Linked DNA regions of Canis lupus familiaris. The protein of the gene in region 1 binds, or shares a complex with, the protein of each later gene. Links are inferred from orthologs where the notes say so. Each region holds a gene or a part of one and is shown on either strand. Other genes may lie near its edges. The genes, in order: VPS54, VPS51 and VPS52.

The links.
Region 2: VPS54 (region 1) and VPS51 share a complex: the UniProt entries of both Homo sapiens proteins name them as parts of the golgi-associated retrograde protein (GARP) complex. The link is inferred for Canis lupus familiaris from reciprocal best matches to the Homo sapiens genes VPS54 and VPS51.
Region 3: VPS54 (region 1) and VPS52 share a complex: the UniProt entries of both Homo sapiens proteins name them as parts of the golgi-associated retrograde protein (GARP) complex. The link is inferred for Canis lupus familiaris from reciprocal best matches to the Homo sapiens genes VPS54 and VPS52.

Annotation. Positions count from the first base shown.
Region 1 is NC_049231.1:64,961,403-64,969,473, reverse strand, and holds the start of VPS54 (vacuolar protein sorting-associated protein 54), read left to right. Parts: upstream 1-2,769; 5' UTR 2,770-2,873; intron 2,874-8,071. UniProt on the Homo sapiens protein: Acts as a component of the GARP complex that is involved in retrograde transport from early and late endosomes to the trans-Golgi network (TGN).
Region 2 is NC_049239.1:52,606,445-52,614,495, reverse strand, and holds the start of VPS51 (vacuolar protein sorting-associated protein 51 homolog), read left to right. Parts: upstream 1-2,651; 5' UTR 2,652-2,739; coding exon 2,740-2,964; intron 2,965-3,461; coding exon 3,462-3,591; intron 3,592-8,051. UniProt on the Homo sapiens protein: Acts as a component of the GARP complex that is involved in retrograde transport from early and late endosomes to the trans-Golgi network (TGN).
Region 3 is NC_049233.1:2,859,659-2,867,220, reverse strand, and holds part of VPS52 (vacuolar protein sorting-associated protein 52 homolog), read left to right. Parts: intron 1-518; coding exon 519-603; intron 604-737; coding exon 738-790; intron 791-973; coding exon 974-1,049; intron 1,050-1,239; coding exon 1,240-1,307; intron 1,308-1,606; coding exon 1,607-1,782; intron 1,783-2,175; coding exon 2,176-2,326; intron 2,327-2,623; coding exon 2,624-2,724; intron 2,725-2,836; coding exon 2,837-2,969; intron 2,970-3,107; coding exon 3,108-3,165; intron 3,166-3,524; coding exon 3,525-3,658; intron 3,659-4,123; coding exon 4,124-4,279; intron 4,280-4,744; coding exon 4,745-4,863; intron 4,864-5,256; coding exon 5,257-5,380; intron 5,381-5,672; coding exon 5,673-5,768; intron 5,769-5,883; coding exon 5,884-5,991; intron 5,992-6,209; coding exon 6,210-6,275; intron 6,276-7,562. UniProt on the Homo sapiens protein: Acts as a component of the GARP complex that is involved in retrograde transport from early and late endosomes to the trans-Golgi network (TGN).

The DNA.
Region 1 (8,071 bases):
GTGTTACAGCATTAGAAAATTTGCCCATTCTTCCTTTAATGAGAATATGTCACCCTAATGACCATAACCATTCATAATTCTTAATAGGTTTTATAAATACTATGCCAAATATAGTGTTAGTAATAGGATAGCTAAAAACCTTCATATTTGCTTTTATTGAGGGCAATCATGATTTCTATCAGTTTATCTTAATTTTCTGTCATCTGTGTTTTCTGGAAATGAATACTAATAATGCATCTCTACACATTTATTTGTGGTTTGGCTTTTCTAATGATTGACTCAATGAAATAAATCATTTCTAATGAAGCAATTCAAGAGATGACAAATGAACATATTAATTAAATGGAAATTCATCTAACTTTATTTTATTTTTTAAAAGATTTTATTTATTCATGAGAGACAGAGAGAATGAGAGAGAGAGAGAGAAGGAAGCAGACTCCGATGTGGGACTCAATCCCGGGACTGGATCCCAGGACTCCAGGATCACACCCTGGGCCCAAGGCAGGTGCTAAACTACTGAGCCACCCAGGGATCCCCTTCATCTAACTTTAAATTAAATTACTTGTCCAATTAACAGGTTTTTTTTTTTTTTTGACAAACTTTAACATCAGCATTTACTTCTTTGTTTACATTTACGATTATGAATTGTTCTGTGGCAAACTAAAAGTAAATACCTTGTTATATCCCTGAAAGAATTAAGCAAAATACTCACTGTGTATTTTCTTCCTATGGCATGCTATCTACGGATGGATAATGAGGAAAGCAAACCAGTCTGTCTTGTCTGGGAGATACCTCACGATAATTATTTAATTCAAGTGCCAACTAGAACAACCTGGAATCTTTTTTTGAAACAAGGTGAGGTATAAACACAAATAAGCTTTTTAAAGGCCAAACTGCAGACTTTGGCAACTTTCAGACTACTGTTGACTTCCTGATACAGATTCAAAATATGGGAAATTGCTAAATCCATTTCTTAGTATAATCTAAAAATTGATTCTAGACTTAAATTGAAATCATTTTCTTCTCTGGCCTCGGTTGAAATTTGGAGAGGCTTTCCTTAATATTTTCATAATAAAAACTCATCTGGTTTTATATGAGATCAGGGATTCAGAGGGATTTCTTTATTATAGTTAAATTTATTTCATATGGGAGGGGGTTGATATTTTCCTCTCATTACAAAATTGTAGAGAATGAGTTGAATTCAGGAAAACATAAGAATTTCCTCTCAGCTATTTCTGTCACATTCTTCGCCTATGTCCTCCCTTCCCCCAGCTTTAGCTCCTTAGTGGGTAAAATACTTCACAAAGTTGTGTTTGCAGTTTTCAAAGTGACTTCTTGGAAGTGAAATTTGCACCAACCTTTTTTTTTTTTTTTTTTAAATCCCCAGTTGTTAAGCGCTACATTTTCACTTTTGATAAAACAGGTTGGCTTATAAACACCTGCAACTGAGAAAAAAAAAAAAAAAAAAAAACCCACCACCACCACCAACAAAAACAAAGGCCTGCAACTTTGGCAGATATTTTAAGGCAAGGAGTAGTTGCAAAATGTTCAGAAGTCCTCCTGAAGCGAAGACAGAAGCCGCCCATGGTTGAGGCCCCCTTTTTCTCTTCTAAAAAAAAAAAAAAAAAAAAAAAAAATATATATATATATATATATATACACACACACACACACACACACACACACATATATATATATTCTGAGACACATGTCCTCTCGTGCAGGTTGCTCTTTTGCTGGGTTAGAATTGCAAGCCCTCGGACGCCAGGCTGAGTGGTATCACTGTTCACAATCACAGCCAGAAGGTATCTCGGGATCTCAGTCCCAGAGCAGAAGTAACCGGTCTGGGTGCCCGCGTAGGGTGACGATGGGTGGCTGCGCGGGGAGGCCTGCGACCAGGGCGAAACTTAAAGCAGGACCCGGCGGGCGGGGGAGGGCGTCCCTGCGAGGGCACAGTGCACGGTTTTCCGAGTCCGGGTGGTGGTGGGGGGGGTGTTGGGGGGAGAGGGTGACCTTTGACCTTCCAAAGGACCTTTATTTGGGAAACTCTATAAACAGCGTCGGCCTTGAAAGGCGAGGTGGGAGGTTGGGAAAGTGTCTGCTGGACGAGGTCCCGGGAGGCGTTCGGGGCGGCGGGAGTCGGCTGGGCTGGGGGGCGGCCGGCCCCGGGGCTGCTCCCGCGGGAAGGCGGGCGGGGGAAGGGCCGCGGGGCAGCGCGGGGCCGGGCGCGGGCGTCCGTGTGTGCGTGGAGGGCTCCGCGGGCCGGCGCCGGCGCTTCCCGCTCCCGGGAGCCCCGCGCCCGCCCCCGCGCCCCCCCCCCGCCCCGGCCCGGGCCGCGGCCCTCCCGCCCCGGCGGAGGCGCCTGCGCGGTGGATTGTGGGCCGGGGGCTGCGGCGGCCTCCGGCGGCCTCCGGCGCGCTGTCCGGGACCCGGCCGGGCCGAGGGGGCCGCGGGCCGAGGGCGAGCGGCGGAGCAGGCGGCGGGCGCGCCGGGGGCGGTGGTCGCGGCGCGGCGGCGGCTCCTCCGGAGGCCGGGGATGTGGGAGAGGCGGTGGCGGCAGCGGCGGAGGCGGCGCTGCGGACCCGGGGGAAACTGCTGGCTGACAGGACACCCGGGAGAGACGTGAGGGAGCCGCCGCGGCCGCCTCTCACCCGCGACGGAGCAGCGCTCGGGGGCGCGGCCCTGTGCTCCCCCGGCTGACGGGCCCGCCGGCGCGGCGCGGCGCGGGGCGGGGGCGGGAGGCCGGGCTCGGGCTCGGGCCCGGCGGGGCTCCGGGCGGCGGCGGCCGCGGAGCAGCCTCGGCGCGAGCGGAGGGCTGGAGGCGGCGGCGATGCGCTAGGCCGCGCTCTGGGGCGGCTGCCCGGGCCCCGCAGGTAGGTGGCGGCCCCCCGCGCGGCGCCCCCCGCCCCGGCTCCCGCGGGGGGACGGCCCGAGACCCCACCCCCTCGTCCCCCCGGCCGCGGCCGAAAGAGTTTCGGTCGCAACTGACGGGCGCCGGAGCTTCCATTCCGCCCTCGCTCCCCCCCTTCCTCCTCCTCCTCCTCGCCGCCGCTCTGGGCTCGGGCCGGGCGGCCGTGCTCCCCCCCTCAGGTCGGGCGGTCGGCGGCCGACATCGCCGCGATCCCCCCCCCCCCCGCGCCCCTCTCTGGGATCCGGGCTGGAACTTCCGCCGCCCCCAAACTTTCCCTTTCTTGTTCCAGCCCGGCCCTTGCTTAACCCCCCCTTTGGAGGCTGCTGGAATAATTTACATGTAAAAAAAAAATTTTTTTTTTTAAATCGTTTTTCTAAGGAAGAAAAGCAAGGCGAACCTCCCCCCCCCCCCCCCCATAACTCGGTGTTTCTGCAGTTTGGCCATCAGTTCGCCATCATTTGTTCAGTAATTGATTTTCTTCAGTTCTGCTTCTTTCCATCTGGGCATCGGTACAAAAAGCAGGCCTCCTCCCCTGCCTGCTCCCGTCGTGGACGGGAGAACTTTCGGGGGCCCATTATTACAATAAACCACTTGCTCGGCCCGTGTGTAGCGCGCAGGGTGGTTATTTTTAGAATTTTGACGGGCCCCGGGGTTGCAAGTTTTGTTTCAATTCACTTTTAACCAGCTTTATTTATTTGTTTATTTAGGCCTTTATTGAGTGAGGCTCTCCTTACTTTCGAAGAATTAAATTGTGTGGTTCCCCCCCCCCTTTTTTTTTTGTTTCGTGTTGTTTTTAATTGCCTCTGTGTTTGATTTCTCAAACCCCAGGGCAGTCTTGATAGTAAATGCTTACAAGGCAGATGATATCCTGATACAGCGTGCTGAGAAACGCGTTTTGGTGGTAACTTGAACTGCAGACTTTGATAGACGTTCAGGTGGACTTTTATAAATCTGGTGGAGAGTTCTGATTGGAAAAAGTACTTAGGGAGCCTTGATTTCTAAGCAGTTGTGGTGGAACAGACGAATGATGGGATTTGACTGTATCTCAGAGCCTTATTTCCTAGAAATGGGTATTACTTGGTGGTTCCTAGTGGTCATCATTGCTGATGATAGGTTTTGGTAAAAATGACCAATAGATGCAGGTTTTGGGTGATTGATAGTTGTGATCTGGGGGGTTAGATGTTTGCAGTTTTACTGTGATCTCGGCTGTTTTTAAATTTTGCTGATAACTTCAGAGTTCTTTCCCAGGACAGACATTATACAGTCTGAGGATTGTTTTTTTCAAAGGGAGTGAAAAATGTTGTAAGGGTTTTCTTTGTAAAGAATGCATCATAGAACTATAAAGACTTTCCATATTTTGTTGACTATACTCCTGTATTTTGCTGTTGTAGAGGTGTTGTTCCTCTAGCATTTGGCTTTCTGCAGTGTTCTTTGTTGTTTTTCGATTATCCAAAGTTTACTGGGAAAAGATGATTAAATTTTTGTATGCTTTCCGGAAAAGTTAAAATTTATCCAGTTTTTATGTCAGAATTATAATCAGATCTTACATAACTCATGAAACGGCAAAGTTTGCAGAATTTGTTCTTAATCACATTCCTTTTCCTATCAATGGAAGTTGAGTGCAATTTTTTCCTGCTTTAGCTTTTTACAAACAACTTTGAAGCACACTCACTTAAAATGTAAAATTAAATGATTTCTAGGATATTCACAGAGTTGTGAAACCATCATCCTAACCTAATTTTACCCGAAAAAGAAACCTATTCATTAACAGAACTCCCTTCATCTCCCCACCTGACCTCTGTCCTAGCAACCACTAATGTATTTTCCATCTTAATATTTGCTTATTGTGATTTATTCATGATGATATCAGCTCATAGCTTTTTGAGGCGTTTCTTTTAAAATCAACTTACATGTTTAAAATATTTTGAGTCAGAATAAGCAGCTGATCACTGGTGTTAATAATCCATGTTCTAAACAACTGATTATTTGGTTATATTCAGCATAAAGTATGGAGAAAGAAAAAAGTTAGCATGAATGATTTCAGTGATCTCAAGAGGTAGTCTGATTAGCTGGGAGTCAAGTAGAAGTTGGACTATTTTTGCCATTGAATATTAGGATATCAGGATTAGAAAAAAACCTTAAAGGTCATCAGCTTACTTCCTGCTTGCTTCACGAATAGATGGCAGGAACCATATGAAGAAATCTGGAGTGGAAGCCTGAATCTCTAGGATTGTGGCTTAAGACCCACAGTGTGGCCAAGTAAGGCAAGACATGGGGATTTGCTAGTTAGAATTGTTAGGTTCTCTTATGTGTGCATATGTTTGACATTTTACTAGCAGCGTTGGAGAAGAACTGGACATTTCCCCATTTGGGGATGGAGGATTGTGGGGAGACTAATGTATCCACATAGATGAAATCCATCTTAACAAAATTCTCTAAAAATGCTTTAACTTAAAGAAGGATGGCATATACTGTATATTATTTAGGTGTCTCCTTGTACTGTTATTGTTCTGTTTTTAAAAATTCAAATTTTAAAAACAAAATTAATTAAAAAAAAAAAAAAAACTAAGATTAACAAGGTTGGTTGTAGGCCTCCTTTTCCAAAGACCCACGGCCCTAACATCCAAACTAATGGTTCTCATACAGGGCGAATTTGCCCTCCAAGAGACATTTGGCGGTGTCTAGAAACGTTTTTCTTTTTTCAATGTCACAACTGAAGGTGGGGTGCCATTGTCATCTAGGCAGGAATGTTGCCAAACTTCACAATGCACCAGATATATCCTATGTCATCCCACCCTCCCCATTCAACAAAGAAGTATCCACCCAAATGGTGGTAGTATTGCTTTAAACCTGTGGTTTGCATTATTCCAGTAAGTGCCTGAACTAGTGTTCTCATCTCCCACCAGGTGGGAAAATAGGTCTCACTGAGTACTGTTTAGTACATTAGATTAACCCTTTAAGTCCTCCAACGACTCACTCTTTGAAGTGGAATAAAGTGGAAGGCGGTAAAGGGAGAAGTAGAAAGCAATCTAATTATGCACAATGCAGATATTCTTTAGTCTGTTTAGGTATCTCAAATTCTGAAGAAAAAATTTTTTTCCCTGAAAATGCAAAAGCCTTCTTTTACTGCAGATTTGAACTACTTTTGTGTTTTGAATTGTGAGTTACTGGTGCAAAGGTTTTTGAAATTGCAGTAGATATAGTAGTATTTTTTTTTTATATAGAAGGTTTTTGGTTTTGTTTTTCTGGTAGCTTCAAATGCCAAAAGAGAGAAGTAGTAAACTAATTTTTTATGAATTACTAATGTACATTGTGAATGTCCAACAAGATTCGGAGCTCATATATGAATTGCAACTTTTTTTTCTCATTCTTGTAGGCCCCAATTTTGACTCATTTAGTTTGGTTTTATTTTTCATTTAATTTGTTTTTAACAAGCTTAGTTTAGTGATGAAAGAAAAAAAGACTGACAGTTGGGGGTCACTTTTGCTACTTACCTGCCTTATTACTTAGATAAATTTATTATTCTCAGTCTTTCTGAGCCTTGATTAGACTCTCATCTATGAAATAGGAATAGTGATAATTCCTGTATTATAATGTGATTGTGAAAATTAAGTAAGGTAAGGTGTGTTTAGGTGCTACGTCAACTATAAAACACCGTGTAAGAATTAGTTCCTACACCTGGAACTAATATAATATGTTATTTGTCAATTATACCTAAATTTTAAAAAGTTACTTGTTTCAGAAGAATCAAATTAGAATAGGATATAGAGGGTACCAAAGTTAGGAATATAGACAGCAAGGCAGAGAACAGTGACTGCAGATAGTATCTCTAGAAAGAAGAGAGAAATTCTAAAAATATATTGGTAACAAACTAGTAAAAGAACCAGTATTATCACCAAAATTTCAAATTCTTCCCTATAAGAGCAAATTGACTTCTTTCAGTAGCACCTGAAAGTATCACTGTAAATACGGTATAATATGGGCAAATATAAGTTTTTTTTTTTTTTTTTTTTTTTTTTTTTTTTTTTTGGGCAAATATAAGTTAACGAGAAAGGGTTACCCGTTTTTAAACTATGCTATTTGAAAAGTTATGAAAAATATATAATTCATTTCAGAATTAAAATTTTCAGTAGTGACATATTTGTACAAAAAGTTTTAGCCTTTTCAAGAGTAAGCTCTAGTTATCTGGATTAATTCCCTTGTTGGGAATAATTCTTTCTGACTTGTTTTATAATTAGGGGGTACTCTGCCCCTAGTAATTGCTCTTCAGATATGAGGCTTTAACTGAATAGAGTTTTAAAGTCTATTCACTGTAAGATCTTAATCTCTTTCTAGATTTGTTTCTTTTTCTGTTATTTTTCAACATCTTTTTGCACAAAACGAGATGCTTTGATTTTTCTACATGTCCAGTAGTCCATAGATGTGCTCTAGTGTTTAGAGTTGAATTAACTAAAAAACATGAAATGAATGGGGAAAAATGTAATCTCTTACAATTTTTTTAACTGGTCAGCTTTACAGTCATGCAAAATTAAGACTTGAAGAAACAGAACTGGAGCTATTGAATGAGATTTTTCGAGGGTAGCATTAGGTTAGAATAGTTGGAGACAGTATTAAGAAAACATTATGTGGCGATATTTGTTTTTTTGTTTGTTTTTATTGTAAACAAATTGGATTTAAGAAGGGAATTTTCATGGCAAAAGTGTTACTGATTTGGAGAATTTTATAATCAAATAGTTGGCTTTTTGACTCACAGGAAGTTGGTGTTTGGGTATGAATATTGTGGTATGCATCACATTTTATGATATGGAGTGAATAAAGTAAAACTTTGAAATCATATAAATATGTCAAGAAAGTTAATGTCTTGTTGATGATGTTTCAGTTTGGCTAGACTGAGGGGTAGATTAGAACCAGGTTGTAAAAAAGTTTTTGGACTTGATAGATGTGTATCAAAGAATACTTAAGGAGAGGGGCCTAATCAGATCTGAATTTTAGAAAGATGATTCTAAAGTTGAGTGAGGTTAGGACCAATGAATGACTTTTGGTAGAAGATTCTCATAGCAGTTTAATCTGTAAATAAAATCCTGAACTAGATTACTGACAATTGGAATGGAGAGCAAGGGATGGGTATGTGATTAATTTTGGAGATAGAATCCATAGGAC
Region 2 (8,051 bases), on another chromosome or scaffold:
TGCATGACTATGTTCTTGTAAAAGATTTGCATAATACACAAGCATACAGAGGAAAAGACAATGACCTGCCCGCCTCCTACCTACCTCACAGAGGTATCCCTCAACAGTTTAGTGAGTGGGCATCTTTTGGATCCCTTCTTACTGAAACCTCATATACCTACCTGTATATATACATGTATAATTTTAAAAAGCATCATGGAGAACCACACCATATGTGTTGTCAAAGTGTAACTTTCAAAAAGTTAGGGGCAGCCTGGGTGGCTCAGTGGTTTAGCGCCGCCTTCACCCCAGGGTGTGATCCTGGGGACCCGGGATCGAGTCCCATGTGGGGCTCCCTGCATGGAGCCTGCTTCTCCCTCTGCCTGTGTCTCTGCCTCTCTCTCTCTCTGTGTCTCTCATGAATAAATAAATAAAATCTTTAAAAAAAAAAAAAAAGTTAACATGATGCTAGGTCTGGAATGAACATGTAACTAAGATGTATTAACCTATCAGTGAGGAGTCCCCCCTCAGTAAGGTGATAATGTATCTTGGGGACTTGGATATTGATAAGCATTCCTTTAGAGAGGAATGTTGGTGTGCCTATGTGGCTCTCAGTCAGGCGGCTACCTTTGGCTCAGGTCATGATCCCAGGTTCCTGGGATTGAGCCCCGCATTGGCTCTTTGTTCGGGGAGTCTGCTTCTCCCTCTCCTGTGCTCTCACTCTCCCTTTCACGGTCTCTCACTTTCAAGTAAATAAAATCTTTAAAGAAAAATAAAGAGCAATGTTAAAATATGATTCTAGGTTAGACACAAAACTGCTTGATATCCTACAGGACGATAAATAGAACTTTTGAAGTTACTTTTTCTGCTGGATATAAATGTTTTGTATATCTCCTGGACAATATCTACTTGTAATATCAGCATCTGAACACATAATGGTAAATAGCAATATCAAATGTTCATTCCTGTGGGTAATTAAATAATCATTGGATAGGCTTGTAAAACAAGCCCCAGTGTGGCATTAGCAGAACATGCTACACTCTTGGGTTTTTTTGTTTGTTTTTTCTTAAAGATTTTATTTATTCATGAGAAACACAGAAAGAGGCAGAGACACAGGCAGAGGCCAGGATCACAACCTGAGCTCAAGGCAGATGTTCAACCGCTGAGCCACCCAAGTGGCCTACACTCTTGGTCTTATTTCCAAATTTTGAATAATTTTTCTTAACCATTATTCTGCAACTTTTTTTTAAGTGTATAGACTTGGAGTAGATCTAAATCTTTATACTCATTTTTTTTTTTGAGATTATAGCATCATCAGCTGACACTATTTTTTAAACAGCCTCTAAACATCCTTCTTAACATAGATGAAATCTTTCAACACAGATTTCAGCAGTCAGCCAACTATTCTTCATGGTAAATGTTTTAGGTGTCAGCCATAAGGTCTCTGTTGCAACTACTCAACACTTCTGTTGTAGTGCAAAAGCAGGCACAGATAATATGTAAACAAATGTGCATGGCTGTGTTCAAATAAAACTATAGACACTGGAATATTTCATATAATTTTCATTTGATTTTATGAAAATCATCTTTTAAATTGAGATAGACATATTCCAATATTTTTAAGGGTACAAGGTAATGATTTGGTATTTGTATATATTTCAAAATGATCACAAGGAAGTCTAACATCTGTCACTATACAAATTATTAATGTTACAAATTATTTTTTCTCCTGATGAGCACTTTTAAGATCTACTCTGATTATATGAATTTTACATAATTTTCACATCATGAAATGCCATTCTTATTTTTTAACCATTTAAAAATGAAAACAAACAACAACAACAAAAAAACCAAACACACCAGTCTTAGCTCACAGGCCAAATGAAAACACGTGGTGGGATGTGTTTGGCCTGCCGCACCCCAGCCAAAGAATCTTTAAACACGGTGGTTTCCATTCCAACACCCCCCACCCCGCCCCGCCCAGCCGCCAGCCCATCACAAGTAATGTTTCAAGGACCATGTCGATAAAGTCGTTTTCTCTATTAAAACTCATCGTATCTATACTTGAACCTCATTACCTGTCCTCTTAAGCACTGCGCCTTGGTGAACAATTAATTGCATTTTGTTGAAATCGGAAACCTGAGAACAACCCTCATCATCTGCACCCAGCCCCTCACCCCCCCCCCCCCCAGCACATCCCACGGGTCGCTGAAGATCTGCCAAGTCGGTCTTCTAAGCAAGTATCTTAAAGTGCTTGGGGACTTTTTTTTTTTTTTTTTCCCTTAAAGAGGCTAGGACTGGGGGAGCCCAGGGTCTGAAGGCAGTTCTGACCCGTGTCAGAGGACGGGCGGGGAAACTGCTAGAGGCCCCGCCCGCACTGTGCGCGCATCTAACCTCGTAGCTCCCCCGCAGCCTCTTGTGAAGTCTGCACCCGTATAGTAGGAATGGGGGACATATTCCGGGGGCCCCTGCCTGCGGGGGTGCGGGGTTGGGAGCCAGGACCCGCCTTCCTTCTGGGAGGGAAGCACCAGACGAGTTCTTCTCAATCTGCTCGGGAGGCTGCGGGAACCCAGGGCTCTCCCGGAACCTCTTCCGCTCAGGGAGGAAAGGTAGGGGGAACGCTAGTCTCGAAGGACCCAGGGTTGCAGGGGGACCTTTTAGCTGAAGGACTGCCTCGTTTCAACAAGAACTTTATGGCTCCCGGAAGTGCCTCCTCCCAGTTCTTTCCCAGCCTCACACCCGTGGGCTGCAGTTGGAGTGATGGCGGCTGCAGCCGCTGGACCTGGCCCGGGGTCTGGAACTGGGGACTCTCCGGAGGGGCCCGAGGCGGAGGCCCCGGAGCGTCGGCGGAAGGCGCACGGGATGCTGAAGATTTACTACGGTCTCTCGGAGGGGGAGAGCGCGGGGCGCCCCGCAGGGTCGGACCCCCTGGACCCGACGGATCTCAACGGGGCACACTTCGACCCGGAAGTGTACCTGGACAAGGTGTGTGTTTGTGTGTTGGGGAGAACCAGGCCCCGGACACATCGCACCCCCCAGATCATGCCTTCGACTTTGCTGCGGGGGTGAGGGACGCAGGGGCTCGTAAAAACCAGATGACCCTAGGGCAGGAAGCAGGGGCCGAGCTGGAGTCTAAGGGGGCGTGGGCAGATTTGGACGGGCCGGAGCAGGTGCGGGGTGCTGATGTCCTGGGCTGATGTTCTGATAGGCCGGGGCGTGGGGCGTGGGGCGTGGGGCGTGGCCCAGGCGTTGACAGGCTTAGGGGTGGGCGGTGGCTGAATCTGAGCGTTTCAAAGGCTGACAAACCCCAAATAGAGTCGAATCTAGTAACTCCTGACCTATGGCACTGATAGGCTCTTTGTCTAGTATCTCTGCCAGGAGTGGGATGAGAGCTTTCTTGCACCCAAAGCCTACCAGGTAGGGGCAGGCCTGAGGGACATGAATGCCCCTGCCCTGAGCACTACCACTTGGATTTCCTCCAGCTGCGTCGGGAATGCCCCCTGGCCCAGCTGATGGACAGTGAGACAGACATGGTGCGACAGATCCGGGCTCTGGACAGCGACATGCAGACCCTGGTCTATGAGAACTACAACAAGTTCATCTCAGCCACAGGTGATTCCCGCTGGGACACACCCATCACAGTCCCGCCTGCCTGTTGGTCTTGTGTTGGGGAGTCGGGGGAGGAGACCCAGATTCTATTTTTTTTTTTTTAAATTTTTATTTATTTATGATAGTCACAGAGAGAGAAAGAGAGAGAGGCAGAGAGACATAGGCAGAGGGAGAAGCAGGCTCCATGCACCGGGAGCCCGATGTGGGATTCGATCCGGGGTCTCCAGGATCGCGCCCTGGGCCAAAGGCAGGCGCCAAACCGCTGCGCCACCCAGGGATCCCGAGACCCAGATTCTAGTCCCTCCCTGACATTTATCCACTCCCACCTCTCAGAGCTTTTGTGGTCAAATGATGGTAGCTGCTCTCAGAGGGTTATTCTGAGGGTCAAAGGGGAGAAAAAAACAAAATGAAAACAATTTAAAGGTTTTATTTGTTTATGCATGAGAGACACACAGAGGCAGAGACATAGGCAGAGGGAAAAGCAGGTTCCCTGGGGGAGCCCTATGTGGAACTCGATCCCAGGACCCCAGGATCACAACCTGAGCTGAAGGCAGACACTCAATCACTGAGCCACCCAGGCATCCCAACAAAATGAAACCTTAAACTGAAATGGGTTTATCTGAACCACTTAGAATCCCTGACACTATCGATGTCTCAGTAAGGGTTAGTTTCTCTGATTAGTGGTAGCTTTCTTCTCTTGCCCAGGTCTATCTTGAGGGTGGGCTTGTCTCTGTCTCTTTCTCTCTCTCGCTCCTTTCCTTCCTCTATCCCTTTCCCCCTTTTAAATTAAGCAAAGAGGGGGATCCTTGGGTGGCTCAGTGGTTTAGCGCCTGCCTTTGGCCTAAGGCGTCATCTGGGAGTCCTGGGATCGAGTCCCGCGTCAGACTCCTGGCATGGAGCCTGCTTCTCCCTCTGCCTGTGTCTCTGTCTCTCTCTCTCTGTCTCTATGTCTATCATGAATAAATAAATAAAATCTTAAAAAAAAATTAAGCAAAGAGACACAATATATGACATTAAGGGACACAGAGATCATGAAAAGGGTTTTTTTTTTTCCTTCTCCTCCTGCCTCCTTTATTCTCTGTCCAGGACAGTGCTAGACAGGGTTCAGCTATCATTCACACTAACTACTGTCTTATGTTGGTGAAATGCACTACTCAGACTTTTTTGTGATAATTTTGGACTCGTGTGTACATAGTTCTAGAGGCAGATCTCGAATGTCTACTGGTGGTCCATGAGAATGTTGGGTGAACCTTTGTGAGGCTCATTCTGACATCTCTTACTCTACTAGTGTCACAAGGTTGGGTGTAGCCATTGTCCTTTTATCTGATTTGAAACAGGTTCAGTGAGTAGGCACCTCTTTATTTGCTAATACCAGCATCAACCAGCAAGAAATCATAATTCCTAGGGGCGTCTGGGTGGCTCATTCAGTTAAGAGTCCATCTCTTGATTTCCGTTCAGGTCATGATCTCAGGGTCATGAGATGGAGATTGAGCCGGGTGTTGGGGCTCCATGCTCAGGGGGAGTTTGCTTTTCTCTGCCTCTCTCTCCCTTTGCCCATACCCTCATACTCTTTCTCTAAAATAATTTAATAAGTCTTTTAAAAAAAAGAAATCATGATAATTTCTGAGCTACAAAATTTCTTACAAGAACTTTGCAAACATTACATTTTCCATTTGTTAGAATTTGTATAATTTTGACATTTAACTGTTATTTAATAAAGGATGACTTATCTTTTTTCTAAGAAAGGGAGAAAATTATAAAATGAGTGTTGGAATCGGGGTTCTAAATCTATAACACGGTAAAGTCTTATATCCATTCAAGAAGTATTCATTGAATGCCTTTTTTTTTTTTTTTTTTTGCCAAGACCTGTTCTGCATTTTGGGGATATAGTAATAAACCAGCTAGATCAAGCTCCTTCCTGCAGCCTGCATTCTATTTGAGGAGACAGACAATAAATGAACACATAAATAAAGGTGGTAGTAAGTGCCAGAAAAAGAAAATAGAATAAGGATAAAAGAGTAATGTGCGTGTGGGTCTACCTTTAGCTAGGGTAAGTACGAGAAGGCCCCTCTGATGTGGTGACATTTGAGCAGGGCTTTCATGAGAAAGAACTAGCCATGGGTAGGGGAGCAAACAGCAGGGGCAGAGGCTCTGAAGAGAGGGCATGTGGGCATATTCAGAGTGCAGCATGGGGTTTAGGGGGAGCGAGGGAGGAAGGAGGAGAGTGGTAGGTGATAGGGTAGAGGGCTAGTGGATTCCAGATTTTGTAGGGACTTATAAGTGGTTACAAGGATCCTGCTCTTTACTCTGAGTGAGTGGAAATGAGAAGAATGAAGTGACCTGACTTGTTTTAAAAGGACCTTTCAGTCCACTCTGTGGGGAATGGACTATAGGGAGGCAAGGGTGGCAGCCAGGACACCCATTAGGTGGCTGTTGCAGCAGTCTAGGCAAGATGCCAGCGGCATGGACTAAGAAAGCTTCTTAGCCATCACAGAACATATGTTCTAGAGAAAGAGACGGATGATAAATATAGATCATTTCACTCAACAAGAACTCCAGAGAAAATGAAACAGGATAATATAGAGAAAGTGGGTGGTTAGGGGTAGTTTAAAAAGGGTGGCAGAGAAAGGGGTTTGTGAGGCAGTGACAGTGAAGGTAAATGATAAAGAGCTGACCATGTGAGGATTTGGAGGCAGAGCAGCTCAGGCTGAGGAAACATCCTGTGCAAAGACCCTGAAAATGCTGTGACAAGAGCAAGAGTGACGTGATGAAGGGAGCAGGACCTGACTGCATAGGATATATACACGAAGGGTCGCAAGCTTTTCTGAGTAAAGTACATATTTTAGGCTTTGCAGGCCCCTTGGTTTCTGTACTTGTCTCTGCTGTGATAACCTGAAAGCCACTATGGGCAGTAGGTGAATGAATGCAGATGGCTGTGCTCCAGTGAAGCTCATTTACATAAACAGGTGTGACATCCAAAATGATGTCAGCAGAAATAGTGGAGCAAGTGTATTTGAAAATCTTCTTACCAGGGCAGCCCAGGTGGCTCAGTGGTATGGCATCGGCTTCGGTCCAGAGCCTGATCCTGGGGACCTGGGATTGAGTCCCATGTCGGGCTCCCTGCGTGGAGCCTCCTTTTCCCTCTGCCTGTGCCTCTGCCTCTCTCTCTCTCTCTCTCTCTCTCTCTCTGTGTTTCTTGTAAATAAATAAATAAAATATTTTTTAAAAATCTGGGGATCCCTGGGTGGCTCAGTGGTTTGGTGCCTGCCTTTGGCCCAGGGCGCGATCCTGGAGTCCCGGGATCAAGTTCCGCGTCGGGCTCCTGGCATGGAGCCTGCTTCTCTCTCTGCCTGTGTCTCTGCCACTCTCTCTCTCTCTGTCTCTCATGAATAAATAAATAAATAATCTTTAAAAAATAAAAAAAATAAAAAATAAAAAATCTCCCTTCCATAAATGCAACCAAAAAACTGGTCAAAATTGTCAGAATCAACTTTTTGGAATTCTAAAAATTAACCAAAAGTTTGCAGCAATCTGAGGACCCTTTTTTCAAGAAAAACAACTGAATCTTGGTAAAAGTAGTGAATCCGGTGGTGGGTTTTTTTCCCCCTAAAGATGTATGTATTTGTTTGAGAGAGAGAAAGAGTACATGAACAGGAGGGGCAGAGCGAGAAGGAGAGAGAATCTCAAGCAGACTCTTCTGAGCCCGACTTGGGGCTTGATCTCAGGATCCTGAGATCATGACTTGAGCCAAAACCAAGAGTCTGACACCTAACCAACTGTGCCACCCAGGCACCCTGCCTGTGGTATTTAATTTATATATTTTAAAGACTTTTTGGGGGGAGGGGTACCTGGGTGGCTCAGGCAGTTAAGCATCTGCCTTCAGCTCAGGTTCTGTGATCTAACCCCTCATTGGGTTCCTCATTGGGAGAAACTCAGACTGCTTCTTCCTCTCCGTTTGCCTGCTGCTCCTTCTGCTTGTACTCTGTCTCCCTCTGTCAAATAAATAAATTTTTAAAAAAGATTTATTTATTTATTTATTTATTTATTTATTTATTTATTTGAGCACAAGCAGGGAGGAGGGGCACAGGGAGAAGTAGACTTGATCCCAGGACCCTGGGGTCATGACCTGAGCTGAAAGCAGATGCTTAACTGACTGAGCCACCCAAGCACCCTGTGATATTTTAGCTTACCCCACAATTTCCTCTCCATCTCAACCAGCTCAGTAGTAGCCCATTTATTTCTGGTACTGAAGTGACCAGAACAGAAGTGGAGCTCTTTCAAAGCCTCATGCTGAAAGAATTTTTTTTTAAGTATTTTATTTTTTTATTCATGAGAGACACACACACAGAGAAGGCAGAAACGCAGGCAGAGGGAGAAGCAGGCTCCCTGTGGGGAGCCCGACATGGGACTCCATCCCTGGAACCCGGGATCACGACCTGAGCTGAAGAAGGCACTCAACTGCT
Region 3 (7,562 bases), on another chromosome or scaffold:
TGTGTGTCGTTGGGCGGGTTAATCAGTTTCTCTGTGTTATACTTTCCCCACGTATAAGGTGAAGGAAATGATAAGACTTCACCGTAGAAATTGTTGGTTATGATTAGATGAATGAATGTATGAAAAATGGCACCTGGCCCGCAGGTAAACACTGTTAGCTGACATTTCTAGAAGGGCAGGTGATCCCCACAGGGATTGTGATAGAACACCTAAGATAGCAGGAGTCTGGGGATCCTACACTCAGCTGTAAGTTTAGCCCTGTCCTCTGCAACTCCTCCTTTACTCTTGTGGTGACTTTTGAGTCTTTTTGTTATATTCCCTACCTAGGAGCCCCAAATAGCAGATTGGGGACAGTGTGAGACTTTTGGAATTTTTTGACCCAGTGCCCATGGCTTCCCAATAAAAACCCAGCCCAGCCCCACCTTCCCCAAACCTTGAAGGTCTGTGGATTATCCCGTTATATTTGTTCTCTCTCTCTCTCTTACTGTGCCCTTTCCTGTTGACTTGTCCCTCTCCAGGGGGGTGGCCCTGGTCTTCAGGAGCCATTGCCACTTGGAGAATTGGACATCTCCTCTGATGAATTTATTCTGGATGAAGTGGATGGTAAGTGATGGCATGAGGTGGATGCAAACTGCTTGTGATCCAAGAGGTATGGTGCTGGAAGTAATAAGGTGGGGAATGGTGTACAGATGTTCGTTTGCGGGAGCTGGACCCTTATGATAAATTTCTATTTCCAGTTCACATTCAGGCAAATCTGGAGGATGAGTTAGTAAAGGAAGCTCTTAAAACGGTGAGGCTTTCTGCTGTACTGATTTATCCCTCCTCTTACCCTCCCCTCAAAGAGGAAAAAAAAGGACAGTCTCTCACTCTTACAACATCACCCTGGTGTCTCACCTTCTAGTCCTTTATTGATTCTTTCTAGGGTCTCTTCACTGCCACTTCCTCTTAACCTGTTGTGTTAATGTTCCCCTAGGGTGTGGATCTCCGTCACTATTCAAAGCAGGTTGAGCTGGAACTACAGCAGATTGAGCAGAAATCCATTCGAGATTGTATCCTCCAGTAGAGAAAAAGGGTGATGTTATTAAAATAGAGATTTTGCGGAGCATGGTGCATGCAGCCCAGCAGGGGCTGACATCTTCTCATGGCAGTTTCTGTCATCTCTGGGAAAAATGGGAATAGTCCCACAGGTCTGAGAATCTCCAGCTTTATGGTGAGGCCCCTTGACTTTTTGTGGATTAGATATCCAGGAGAGTGAGAACATAGCGTCTCTCCACAACCAGATCACAGCCTGCGATGCTGTTCTTGAGGTTAGTAACCATGACCTGTGATCCCTCTTAACCCTGAACCAGATCATGGTCTGGTGTTGTTCTTTAAGTCATCATCCTCAGGTGGGGATAGTTAGATTCACGTTCAGGATGACCTTAGCAGACCTTTTTGTTGCTACTGCCATAACTAATGTTATTTGCCAGTGACCTTTTGGGTACTTCTTACCTCATCACCTACCTTCGAGGACTGATACTGAAGACTTTACCAATAAACTTAGGTGGCCCATTTGTCCCTTGCCAACCCTTTGGTGCTCCAACAACATCTTCTGTCCTCCCCCCAGCGCATGGAGCAGATGTTGGGAGCTTTTCAGAGTGACCTCAGCTCTATTAGCTCTGAGATCCGGACACTGCAGGAACAGTCAGGAGCCATGAATATTCGGCTTCGAAACCGCCAGGCAGTTCGGGGAAAACTTGGGGAACTTGTCGATGGTCTGATAGTGCCCTCTGCTCTGATCATGTAAGTTGCCATTTTGAAGAGTTACAATGTCTATAGCAGGTAGATGGTCTAGGATGACCTACCACATGGGTCTCCTGGCCTCAGCTCTTCAAGCACCTTCCAGAAACTGATGGGTGGTTGACAACTCAACCTTGATGCATGCTTTAGGCATCAAAGATTAGGAATATCCAGAGTCAGGCATTTAGTTGGGAGGTTTAGTTGGGAGGTTTAAGGCTTTATGGACGTGGGATTGGGGGAGGTTCCAGGAACAGGAGACTTTGTACACGTATCCTGACTATGTGACTTAGCGTGTGAAGGGAGAGGTGACAGGCTGGATGTAAGGAATATAGTTTGGGACCTACTGATGTCTGGGTCTCCCTCCTATAACCCCTTCCACCTGTCCCTGCTACCCAGGGCAATTCTGGAGGCACCAGTGACAGAGCCTAGGTTCCTGGAGCAGCTGCAGGAACTGGATGCCAAGGCGGCTGCAGTCCGAGAGCAGGAGGCTAGAGGCACAGCGGCTTGTGCTGATGTCAGAGGCATACTTGACCGGCTACGGGTGAAGGTGAGGGGTGGGGATGATACCCCCAAGATTACTAGAACCAGCCTCCCTGACACCTTCAACCTGGGTTTCCCCAGCAGCGCTCACTGTAGCCCATCCCCAAGAATTTCACCCTGCCTTTACTGGCAGAGCTCATCTTCACATCTCTAGGTTCCCCTGAACACTTTCAGAAATACTGATGAGGTCTTCTCCAACCTCCATCCTCCTGTATTTGAAATGTGACCCTCCCCCCACCATTTCCATAACAGTCATAAGGTTGCAGCTTCATGCCCTGTGTTTGTTTCCTCCCCCCATGTCCAGGCGGTGACGAAGATCCGAGAGTTCATCCTTCAGAAGATTTATTCCTTCAGAAAACCAATGACCAACTATCAGATCCCCCAGACGGCCCTGCTCAAGTACAGGTCAGTGCCCAAAGGAAAGGCTCAGCATGGCCTCTGGGCCATCAGTCAGCCTGGTGAGGGGTCTGCTTTCTTGGGGAAGGTGGGGAGACTGACTTGTCCCTGGCCTCTCCAGGTTCTTCTACCAGTTTCTGCTGGGCAATGAACGGGCAACGGCAAAGGAAATCAGGGATGAGTATGTGGAAACGCTGAGCAAGATCTACCTGTCTTACTATCGCTCTTACCTAGGGCGGCTCATGAAAGTGCAGGTGAGGCCAAGGAGGGAGGCATGGCTAGGATTGGGGAAGAGGGGCCACCCCCAGGCAGGGCTGGACAGTGGGGAAAAATTGTTTTATCACAACAGGGGAGGAGATGCTTACTGGTTCCCTTTTCTCTTTTTTTCTTAGTATGAGGAAGTTGCCGAGAAGGATGATCTAATGGGTGTGGAAGACACAGCAAAGAAAGATATCCTAGAACTGAGGAACCCACGTAGTAGGCCTTGATAGTGACAGTGCCTCAAAGGCACTGCTTCTTGTCTTTTTCTCTGGGACCAAAACCTTTGAGAATGTGATAATGGCTATCCCCCTCCCCCCCTGCCGCCCGAAAAAGGCATGCATCCTTTTGACACATAGTTCTACATGTGATGGCAGGGAGGGTAGGAGCTCTCTGAAGCCCGTTCCCGGGTGTCAGATGAAGTGGGGCCAAGGTACTGGGAAGGAGGGACATCTAGGCTGTGTCTGGCTGCCTGCGGTCCCTGGAGGTAATGAGCCTCTGAGTCTGTCACCATTGTGATCTAGTTGTTTTCCCTGACTCTGATCCTTTACGATTCTTCTCAAAGCCTTCCCTCCGCAGCAGGAACACCATCTTCACCCTGGGGACCCGTGGCTCTGTCATCTCCCCCACTGAACTGGAGGCCCCCATCCTGGTGCCCCACACTGCCCAGCGGGGAGAACAGAGGGTAGGAGAAGGGATGAGAGTCAGTCATGAGGGTGTGCTGGGCATGGGTAGGAGAGGCCAGACCTCTGGGCAAAGCTTCCCGCCCTGCAGTCCCCTGTATCAATCCCCTTAGAACGGGGAATGACCTTCTTGGATCACCCAAGTGTTCTGTGATGTGAAGAGGGTTGAGACCGTTGACTTCAGGACATATATAGAGAGAGATTGGCTGAAGGGAACATCTTGGGGTAGGTTGTAGAGTTGGGTGGTGCAATAACAGCAGGTGGGGGTGGGTTCTTCTCTTGAGCCCCTCGTCCCTCTACCCCTTTCAGTACCCATTCAGGATGCTCCTTCACAGCCTGCACCTGGGTTAGATGGGAAAGACCTGAGCTCTCGTTACCCAGGCTTGCTGATTTTCCAGCAATATCTATGGAGAGTCAGCATTGGGGTCCATCCCTTCTGTCCCTCTTCTTCACCTCTCCCATCCTAGTATCCATTTGAGGCCCTCTTCCGCAGCCAGCACTACGCCCTCCTAGACAATTCTTGCCGTGAATATCTTTTCATCTGCGAATTCTTTGTTGTATCCGGCTCGGCTGCACATGATCTCTTCCATGCTGTCATGGGTCGCACCCTTGGCATGACCCTGGTAAGATCCCCAGCTCCTGTGCTCTTAGACCCCTTTGTCCTCAGTCCTCTGCAGCACTGTAGGGGGTCATAGCTCTGGTAGTACTGAAACCAGGCCCCCCCTAATTCTAAAATGTCTAAGCCTTGTACTCACAGAGCATATGAAACCCTCAAAGCTTGGGGTCCCTGAGGTACCCCTACTACTGACCCATAGCCAGGCAGTAGCATCTGAAAACGGAGGGGCCCCTGAAATGGTGCTCAGCCCTGAATTCTGCTGTGATGGGCTTGTGATCTTAAATCCTGATGGGCAAGGCAGCAGGACCACCTGAGGGGCTAGTGGACAGGGAAGGAGGAGGCATTTCCTGAGAGCTCCCTACCCTCCCTCCCAGGGCTGCATCCCCAGAGGAGTACATGCATTTGTCTGTAGCCACTAGGAATGACAGAATAACGAACGCTCTTTTCCAATTCTTCTATCCCTGAATCGTAGAAACACCTGGAGTCCTATCTCACGGACTGCTACGATGCCATTGCTGTTTTTCTCTGTATCCACATCGTCCTCCGGTTCCGTAACATTGCAGCGAAGAGGGATGTTCCTGCCCTGGACAGGTCACTGAGTTCTGGTCCTTGATGCCCCATTGCTCTTGAACCCTTGGCTTTACATGGTCCTGTTCTGACCATTGGGCTGCTGCTGACCAGACACCTGACTCTTACTCCCGTTCATCTGCCTGGGGACAGTACTGCTTTCTGCCTCACCATTCATACTAGTCCAACCTCCATCAGCCATCAGCTGGGTTCCCCCACAGAAACCCTACCTCCGTCCTCCCAGATTTCTTTTTGGCCTTTTAAATTTTTATTTTAATTCCAGTTAGTGAACATACAGTATCCTCTTAGTTTCAGGTGTATGATAATAGCGATTCAATATTTGCATGTATCACCTAGTGCTCATCACGACCCTCACATTTCTTGCCAGCTGATCTCTAATTCTGATTAAGTCTGCAGGTACTGGGAGCAAGTGCTTGCCTTGCTGTGGCCACGGTTTGAGCTGATCCTGGAGATGAATGTCCAGAGTGTCCGAAGCACTGACCCTCAGCGGCTAGGGGGGCTGGATACTCGGCCCCACTATGTGAGAGAGGGCAAGGGTAACAAAGGGGTTCCCAAAAGGCAGGGCTCTAGCTTCACTATGGGGGTTGGTCGGGTTCCCAGTTGTGTTGTGGGCCTGGCTGGATATTGGGGCACACTCTGTGTGTGGGGCAGTCTAGGAGTATGTGAATTCAGGGTGAATTTGGCATCATTTATTATAGTGATTGGGGGTGGGAGTCACAGAGGTTGATGGGCCAGCTCCTAGGGACTTGCAAGATTGCTTTGGTTGGGTCAGGGGGATGGTGTGATTTTATTACCACTTTTCTTTTCCCAAGATCACGCGCCGATATGCAGAGTTCTCGTCTGCTCTTGTCAGCATCAATCAGACAGTTCCCAATGAACGGACAATGCAGCTGCTAGGACAGCTACAGGTGAGGGTGGGCAGGAGAGACTTCCCAGTGGCTGGGCTGCCTCAGTGGCCTGCAGTGTGAGGAGCGCTGTGTGCCCTCACCTTCTCATGTCACCTCTTCCTTCTGGCTTTTCCAGGTGGAAGTGGAGAATTTTGTCCTCCGAGTGGCAGCTGAGTTCTCCTCAAGGAAGGAGCAACTTGTGTTTTTGATCAACAACTATGACATGATGCTGGGCGTGCTAATGGTACAGACACTATTTCTCTCTTCCTCCCTACCCAGAGGGTTTGGCCTCCCCCACTGCTCTGTTTGCTCTGTGAGGACAGAGCTTGGTCTTGTTCCGTAAGTTATTCTTGGCATCTGGCGCATTGCCTGGCCAAGTACAGTAAATGTGGAAGGAAGGGGATATCCTGAAGTCAAGGGCTGCTTCTCCCACACTTGAGATTTCCCTTTGTCTTCCCTTAGGAGCGGGCTGCAGATGACAGCAAAGAGGTTGAGAGTTTCCAGCAGCTGCTCAATGCTCGGACACAGGTAGGGGGGTGGGGAAGAAGAGAGGGAGAGTCTCATGTGCTATTTTCTCTTCTGTGTGTGTGTGTTTAGGGAGTGGCAGGTAAAGGGCTTCATGTACCCAGAATTGGAACTACTGGTTTCCTTTCCTTTTGTGTTTTTTTTTAACGATACACATACCCCTGAAGCCTTCACCTACCTTGACGATAACCAGCATTAAACAATGAATTCTTCCTCAGCCCATTTCCTTGCCCATCACACTTTTAAGTCTTTTCTTGACCTAAGTATTGTGTTTACCATGCTCTTGCTTTCAAAAATATAGCTGTAAGTATGGCAACTAATTAACTTAGTTGTACTTATTTATTTCTAACGTTTTTATTTTTTATTTATTTTCTTTTTTTAAGTAGTCTCCATGCCCAACATGGGGCTCAAACTCATGACCCCGCGATCCAGAATTGTGGGCTCTATCTGCTGAGCCAGCCAGGTACCTCCCCACCTGTATTATATTTTTATTTTTATTTTTATTCTTGAGTGACATAAAAGCAATCACAGGATTTTTTTCATGCATAATTTTTCCAACATTATCATATTATGACATATGGCTACAGCTTTTTCTTTTTTACTTTATATAATTTTATATTGTGTGAATGTAACGTTTTTTCCTGCAAGTGGACCTTGGGATTATTTCTAGTTTTTTGCAACTGTGAGAGTTGTTTTATGAACAGTTATGTTTTTTAGTGCATGTAGATGGAGAGAAGTTTTATAAAAGTTTCTCTTGGAAGTAGGACTTGGCTTGTTGCTTGTAGGGTTTGCCAGCATTCAACCTTATGAGACAGTGCCATATAGTTTTCCTAAGTGGTATACTAGTTTTTTCTTTACTGGCAATGTGTAAGAATTCTCATTGAGCTATATTTTCTACAACACATGGTATTACCAAACTATCTTTGCCATTCTGGTATAGGTATCTCCTTAGGGGTCTTTATATGCATTTTTCTGATTACTATTGAAATTGAGCATCATTTCAAATGTTAAGTAGTTATACAAAGTTTTCTATTCCATAAAATATCTGTTGTAGCATTTGGCCTTTTTAAAATTGGGTTGTGTATTTCTTTTTGATTTATACGATTTTTAAAATATATTTATGAAACCAATTTTTTGGTTGTATAGGTTGCAGATATATTTCAGAGCTTTATTTTTTATTTTTATTTATGTTGTCTCATGATGGACAAATTCTTAATTTTAATGTGATTGGCTTTACTGATTTTTTCTTGATTTTTCTGTCTCATTTAAGAAATCTTGTATTGGGCTTTT